Danio rerio: one gene and its partner. The protein of the gene in region 2 purifies or fractionates together with the protein of the main gene of each other region. This does not show direct contact. Links are inferred from orthologs where the notes say so. Each region holds a gene or a part of one and is shown on either strand. Other genes may lie near its edges.

What was found. The genes of interacting proteins can lie anywhere in the genome.
Region 1: the proteins of atp6v1f (region 2) and atp6ap2 purify together in Homo sapiens (affinity purification with mass spectrometry; 3 studies listed by BioGRID and IntAct, counting the BioPlex papers as one, with this or other methods). This does not show direct contact. The link is inferred for Danio rerio from reciprocal best matches to the Homo sapiens genes ATP6V1F and ATP6AP2.

Annotation. Positions count from the first base shown.
Region 1 is NC_133197.1:10,785,785-10,790,113, forward strand, and holds the start of atp6ap2 (renin receptor), read right to left. Parts: upstream 2,828-4,329; 5' UTR 2,814-2,827; coding exon 2,666-2,813; intron 1,837-2,665; coding exon 1,706-1,836; intron 1,606-1,705; coding exon 1,477-1,605; intron 847-1,476; coding exon 751-846; intron 1-750. UniProt on the Homo sapiens protein: Multifunctional protein which functions as a renin, prorenin cellular receptor and is involved in the assembly of the lysosomal proton-transporting V-type ATPase (V-ATPase) and the acidification of the endo-lysosomal system.
Region 2 is NC_133179.1:20,642,934-20,646,944, reverse strand, and holds atp6v1f (V-type proton ATPase subunit F), read left to right. Parts: upstream 1-1,322; 5' UTR 1,323-1,426; coding exon 1,427-1,584; intron 1,585-2,688; coding exon 2,689-2,890; 3' UTR 2,891-3,421; downstream 3,422-4,011. Other genes in the region: ragulator complex protein LAMTOR4, read right to left, coding at 694-810, 961-963. UniProt on the Homo sapiens protein: Subunit of the V1 complex of vacuolar(H+)-ATPase (V-ATPase), a multisubunit enzyme composed of a peripheral complex (V1) that hydrolyzes ATP and a membrane integral complex (V0) that translocates protons.

The DNA.
Region 1 (4,329 bases), on a different chromosome or scaffold from region 2:
TATATGTATTTGACAAAATGACTTGAAATCAAACTTTTTCCAATAGACCAGGGCATTATTTGAAACATACTTACTTGATCTTTGAAAGGCTGTCAGGGGTTTTGTCTTTGTCCTAGTTATTGCCTTTATATTGAAGTTTATTTATTTATTAACCCCCCCCCCCCCTCCCCCTCTTTTTTATTTTTAAGCTGTCAATATTATTTATCTATTATTATAATATTTATCAATTATTGTTTTCTTTCTATTTGTTTCTTTTTTGTGATTGTAAACATTCTAAGTAAATGTTATTTGTATACTATCTTTATAAAAACTTCAATAAAATAATAATAATAATAATAATAATAATAATTGTCCAAATTAAATTCTTAGCAATCCATGCTACAAATCAAAATTTTGTTTTGATATATTTAAAGTAGAACATTTATAAAATATTTTCATGGAACATGAGCTTTTACTTGTAAATGTATTTTTGGCTACTGTCAAAACTGTCACATTTTGTGGTCCAGGGTCACATATAGTACTTCATTGACATTCATTACAACACAACTTTCAAGTCATAAAAGTTCAAAAGTCTTGTTATAAGCCCCTGAAGCATTAGTATTGTATTTCTGATGAATATTTCAAAAAGTGCCCTATAAAGGGTTAAACTGCACACTACTTCTTCATTCTCAAATGCATGGTTTGCAATGCAGAGCATTTTGTTTGTTTGCAGGCATCATTAGTGTGGTTAGTGTTTTATTATGGTCATACCTCTTCACTGGGTGCGAGCTGTAAGACCACAGGCGTGCTGTCAGCAAACAGCGTGTGAATTGTATTCGCCACACTGTCCAGAGTGAACGGAACCGGCTGCAACATAAACAGATAGACAGGAAGATAAAAATTTAGACTGAACGGCAGACATTAAGAAAGATAGTTTCATTTTGGTCTTGCATCAAACCCAATTTAGAACCATGATTTAGTATATACAGAAGTAGTCTGTCAAATTGAATGCAAGTACAGTGTCCACTTCAATGTTTAAAATGAACATTTGTGAAAATAAAATATGGCTGAAATAATGTTCCATCTGGCGACGTGGTGGCGCAGTAGGTAGTGCTGTCGCCTCACAGCTAGAAGGTCGCTGCTTCGAGCCTCGGCTGGGTCAGTAGGAGTTTGTGTGTGGAGTTTGCATGTTCGCATGGGTTTCCTCCGAGTGCTCTGGTTTCCCTCACAGTCCAAGATAGATAAAAGCGTCTTATGTCTCATGATATAAAATGGGGAAGTCTGGAGGGGAAACTACACTGCTGCTCAATTCTAAAACTTACAAATATAGCTGATGAACATTGCTTCCCATTTTCCGGTTCTAAAGGGAGTTATTTATCTTTACTCAATAGTTTCTGGTAAACTGCAAAGTGAGTCAAAGATCAGTAAAAGGCCAGACAAAACAACGCACAACACACATCATAAAATAAATCCAGCATGTGAGAATGTGTCACCCACATTTTCGAGAGGGTAAGAGGACACGTTTTTTGGAAAGTCCAGGCTGTCGATGCCACGCACAACGATTAGAGCGTTAGCACGAGGACGCTGGAACAGTGAACCGGCAGCCAGACCTGGCCAATCGAGATCCTGCAAGATTTTAAAAAATCAAGTTTATCACAGTGTTTACATTAAGACATCATATGTGCTATTACAACAAATAAGAAAAATAAAAAAACAGACATAATACCTCACGAACAGAGAAGCCCATGGTCAGAGCAACTAAATCTGGGATCTTTTCACCCGATATGGGCCACTGCTCATCCCGAAAAGTCACATACTGAGGGCTTCGCAAAACTGTCAAACTGTCCCCCAAAACACCTGACAGAAAATTAAGAAATCAATTTTCACATATTTTCATAATCTTTATTGGAATTAAATGACAATCGCTTTGACATTTCTGTATCTAATGACCTCGCAATGACATTTTGTGTGTGTTTTAAGTACATTAAAACATCTGTATTCAAGCAGGACTTCATGAAAGTCAATATAAACAAATGAAAAATAATATTACAAAGCAAATAAGTAAAAAAGCAGTTGAAATTGTAAATTATATAAATCAGAAGAATCAAACATTACAGCACTATAATGCATAGAAATAGCTAAATAAACATTATTGAAACTAAATAGCCCACAAATATTTTAAATATATATTTTTTAATATAAATTATTCTGAGTTAGGTTTTAAAACACGCATTAATATCTGCAGTTTACATTTAGGAGGCACCGAAATTATCAGATTTGGGTGTCCAGTGTCATATAAACCACTGAAATCTAGTCTAGTATAAAAAACACAAATACATAAGCTTAATTTCTATCATAAGTATAATATTGATTAGAAATGTAGGATTTGTTAAATAAACCATGACTGTCACATGACCCGCTTGGGCTTCCTCATTCACGATCAACATTTAACACTAAACCCCTTTGTATTTAACAGCCGAGTGCAACATAAACACAATATCTTTCCAAATACTCTTGAATTAACAGGATAACATTGATAACGGAGATATTTAATCGAATGACATGACTGCGGATTATGGCATCCCACTGCAGCCGCCATTAATTCATTAAACACACGCTAAAACCCCCTGGACCCTATAAAACAAAACGACGTACACGTCAAAGACCAAATATAAAGTCAATTTACCTGATAAGAGTCCTATAAGGGCAAATACGGCGTTCATAATTATTCGATTCATCTCGGGACGATTTTCTGATGGACTGCGCTTCCTCGCAACACCAGTCACATGACCAGGGCCAGCCGCGTGACGTCGTGCGTCATGACGCAACAACATTTCCCTCAGTCTGCTTCGACTGCCACCGCGGGATTCAAACTTTACTTGAATTTACCGACATTTGTGTTCGTTAAAGTCAATATTCCGACCAATGTAGTTGGATAATGCTGATAATTTATATTGTTTACAGCGAAGAGACATTTAGAAGGGGAAAATTGTGTAAATGTAACAATTTTACGTAAAGTTACTAGACCTAAACTGGAATTATTAACAGCAGAGGCGTTTCTAGCCGTAAAGGATGTAAACAAGACCCTGTCTGTCTGTCTGTCTGTCTGTCTGTCTGTCTGTCTGTCTGTCTGTCTGTCTGTCTATCTATCTATCTATCCATATATCCATCCATCTGTCTGTAGGTTAGTGACCTTCAGGACATGTGACATGTCATCAACTATCTGCAAGGATTTTACACAGCATAAGGTTAGTATTATGCACAGTTTTCCCGTCTACAAGACTGCCTTGACCTTTCAGGTAACTTTTAAAATCGTAATTTGCAGTAATTGTATGTTTAATCAAATAATAGCATACTGCAGACCCCATTCCAAAGATTATATTTTGAAGGTACCCCAAAATCATAATTTCTGCTAATTATAAGGAAAAATTAAGTTTTACCCTCCACATATACAACGTTTGTCCAACAATTTATTTCAATATAGTTGTTGTCAATGTATTATTACTTCTAATCTAAGATTCAGTTAATAAATTGTTCTCTTTTTAATTTATTTTTTAAATGAATATATACACACAGTTGTAGTCAAAATTATTAAACCCCCTTTTGATATTTTTTTTTTAAATATTTCCCAAACGATGTTTAAAATAGATGTTTAAAACGATGTTTATTTTTTAAAAGCCATTTAAGGACAAAATTATTAGCCCCTTTTATCTATATATTTTTTTCGATAGTCTACAGAACAAACCATCGTTATACAATGACTTGCCTAATTACCCTAACCTGCCTAATTAACCTAGTTAAGCCTTTAAATATCACTTTAAGCTGTATAGAAGTGTCTTGAGAAATATCCATAAAATATTAATTACTGTCATCATGGCAAAGATAAGATAAGTCAGCTATTAGAAATGAGTTATTAAAATTATTATGTTTAGAAATGTGTTGAAAAAGTCTCTCCGTTAAATAGAAATTGGGGGAAAAAATATATAGCGTTGAAGTACTCCTGTTAATTTTTTCCCCCAATTTCTATGTAACGGAGAGATTTTTTCAACACATTTCTAAACATGTTGTATGATGATTGATATATATGTGTGTGTGTGTGTGTGTGTGTGTGTGTGTGTGTGTGTGTGTGTGTGTGTGTGTGTGTGTATATATATATATATATATATATATATATATTTTTTTTTTTTTTTTTTTTTGCTCTTGGAATATAGTATTTTTATTATAATGTTTAATTTATTTTTATTTATATTTACTTTATGTTTGTATATTTAATATTTATTTACTATTTTATTTGACTAATTTCACACTTTTAATATGTATTATATTTAGTTTTTTTAATAAAAGTAACGT
Region 2 (4,011 bases):
TGTCCAACAGACAGACAGACAGACAGACAGACAGATAGATAGATACAGTTAAAGGCACAATTATTGGCAATAAATAAATATTTTCCTTTTTTAATTTATTTTCATGAAGGCTGTTCAAAAGGAAGAAGATTTCTCAACACATTTTTAAAAATAATAGTTGTAATATATATATTTTTTAACAGAATCTGTCTTTGCCATGATAACACTGCATAATATTTTGCTAGTTATTTTACAAGATATTAGAATTCATCTTAATGAGTAACTTAAAGGCTTAACTTGGTTAATAAGTTTAACTAGGCAAGTCATTGAATACCATTATTTTGTTCTAAGGGCCTATTAACCTATTAAAATTGTTATTTTTTTATTTAAAAACTGCTTTTATTCCAGACAAAATAAAAGAAATAAAAAATTTTCTCAAGAATAAAAATATTATAGAAAATACTGTGAAAATGTCATTGCTCAGTTCATCATAACTTGGGAATTTTTTTTTAAATAATATGTATCAGTAGAGGCGTAATAATTTTGCCTCAAAGTGTAGACAGGCAAACAGAGACAGACAGAACAATAAGACTGACAGACATTGAATTCTAATTAATTATTTCTCATTTGCCCAAATCAGGATTCTCTTTTCAACGCATTTCACCCTCATGTCAAGTTCTCCGAAAATGTAAGTTATGAATTTTAACAGCTTACCGCGAGTACTCCGTCTTCACTAATAACCAAGTACCCAAGTTGATCGGGTATTCTCTCCAAGCCTTGAGTCAAAGCAGTAGTCTGACATTCAACACACGATAATACTGTAATTAAACACTAACAGAGCTCATATGATATTAGACTGCATCATCAATCACATTATTTACAAAATCTTTGTTTTATAAGTTCTAAATGCACTAAAACAAAACATTTAATAAAAAAAACATTTAATTAAACAAATATTTTAAAGGTAAGAATTATATTTACCATTTTAGACAGTGCAGATAAATGTACACTGCTGTTTTCCTTCACACCCCGCCTCACGTGACTGACATCAAGCGTCGCGTGTTTATAACGTCATTCCAGGAGATGTTTTGCTTATTCGACATTATTTTTGTTTATATGCATTGGAAACGTACAAAATGTGATAAAAAATCTTAGTATGACTAAAACGTGGCGGATTTTTATTTAATTTGCTAGGATTTATGCGCTGTTCTCGCATTTAACAAAAAATAATCTGTATCAGGATCAGATTCGCTGTCATAATCACCGCACACAGGTCGGTCGTTAACGCGAGCAGCACAGATCTCAGATCAGCTAAATAAGGCGCTTACGCGACTACGCAAAGCGGAAGTGAAGTGGTCAGCTGATTAAAGCATATGATCCTGCTGAACGGAAAACATTTCGTCCATTCTGCGTCTTTTATTTGAGCAAAATATAAGACAAAGTCACGATGCCCGGACGAGGAAAATTAATCGCAGTTATCGGTGATGAAGACACGTGCACCGGATTTCTCCTCGGAGGGATCGGAGAGCTCAATAAAAACCGTAAACCCAATTTCTTGGTGGTGGAGAAGGAAACCAGCGTTACAGAGATAGAGGAGACCTTCAAGTAAGTGACACGATCCTAAATGTCTGAATGACTCAACATCATATATTACAATCTAATTATCAAATATGTGTCATTACAAATATATGGATGAAGACTTGCTTTTTAAAAAAATATTTATGTTTATCTATCTATCTATCTATCTATCTATCTATCTATCTATCTATCTATCTATCTATCTATCTATCTATCTATCATATCAGCCAAATATTTTAGAAAAAACATTTATATATAAATTATTTTTATGTAGTAATAATTACCTAAATTTGTCAAGAAACCCACTTAAATGTCTTTTAGTTTAACAATATTTTATATACACCAGTAAACTGTCAATCATATTTGCAAGAAACTATTAAAGACATATCAAACTATTAATATTATGAATTACAGTGCAGCCCCTATTGACAATTGTCATTTAAATATCCTTTGTCACTATTCTTCAAACTACTGATCAATTTTGAATAATTTAAATATAAGAACATGTTTGTCTGATCTCTTCTTATTCTGACGATAGATCATTTTGAGGAATGTAAACAAAAACAAATGTTCCAACGTATTTTCTGTTTTACATTTTTAATTTTTATAGCTTACGAGAATCTAAAAAGAGCCTGCTTATTGATAAATAATGTTATGATAGCTTTTTTAGAATTAAGTTATTATTCAATTGTTTCTTTGATATCAAGCATAGGCCAATGTCATCACCACAATGAAATGGTCTATATGAATAAGTACAAGTCCAAGTCAATATGTAGTTTGGTATTTACATAAATATGCAATAATGTCTGATTTTGATTATAATTTCACCCATGCTTGCATTTAATTTTCAGAAGAGTTATTTGAAACATCAAAGTATGCGCTGTATATGCATTTAATACAATAATAAAATTATATTATGTATAACACCTTAGTAGACATACAGAAAAAAATGTCTTACTAACACATATATTATGCATTAATATATACAGTAAACATTACTTTTCCCAATAACCTTTTGAATTGTAATTTTTGGATTAACAAATAGATGCAGAGAATAGTAGATTTTTGTAATTGTACAATTTTTTTTCTGTCAACATTAACTACAGCATGTCTGTCGTTTATGACTAACAGGAGTTTCCTTGCTCGCAATGACATTGGCATCATCCTTATCAACCAGTTCATCGCAGAGATGATTCGACATGCCATTGATGCCCACATGCAGTCCATCCCGGCTGTGCTAGAGATTCCCTCAAAAGAGCATCCATATGATGCCTCCAAAGACTCCATCCTGCGACGGGCCAAGGGTATGTTCTCTGCAGAGGACTTCCGATAACCTGTTACTACCCATGCAGGCTCACAGTCTGGCCTGAGCAGATGAAGGAGTTGGGTATTCTCATCCATCTCGCTGAAACTGAAAAGCATATTATGAGGAGTAAATAATGATGTGTGTTTAATCAATGTTCTGTGATGTATTTTTTGCCATTCCCAAGGAAATAGTTTTTGTCAGTGCTCCTACTAATAATTATTTTAAAATATATGTTTAATATAACAATCATATATATCATATATAAAAATTCAATATATTATGAATTTCCTTTTAAATGCTGTCACTTTAATATTTAAGTTCCTGAATGTCTTTCTCAAACTTGATAATATTAGACAGAAAACAAACTCTCTACATCTGTTACTGTAAATTGGTGTGCTATGCATATATTTTTTCCTCATTGTATTGGTCATTGTTTTGAAGCATTTCAAAGAAGCTTTCCTCAATGTGATGCAATTAAAATGTGTTCAAAGTATGTGATTTGCAGTTATTAAAGGTAATTGGAGTATTATGCTCTATTGATACTGTGGTGATGGAAAATAAATATTAAGGTAAAATATGCAAATACAAAAAAGACTAGAATAATGCAAATAGAAATGCAAATAATGCATATAAAAATATGATGATTTGGTCATGTTAAAATTCAATCAGCCAATCACATGTCAGCAATAAAATGTGTTTAGGAATCTATGTGGTCATGATGATTTAACGTGACTAGGGATTTTAGAGAACAGTCAGATAAATGTCCCGAGTGGATCTATGTGGGTAAAGAGAGTTTGTTTGTGACAGAAATCAGAATAGCATGGAATAACACTTTAGAATAATGCTACATCAGTTCATGCATCTACTAACATGAACTAAGTAGGGGTAATCTTGAAAATAATTTATTAACCATTAGTTCAACATTTACTAATGCATTAATAATAGCCGAAGTTGGTCTTGTTAACATTGGTTAATGCACTGAGTTAACATCAACTAACACTCTTTAATTAAATTAACTTTATTAACTTTAACAATGATGAATAAGTACTGAATGTATTACTAATTGTTTGTTCATGTTAGTAATACATTTATTATGGTATTTTAAAGTGTTGCCAATCTTGGACAGACACAAGCACTGATCAAAATTA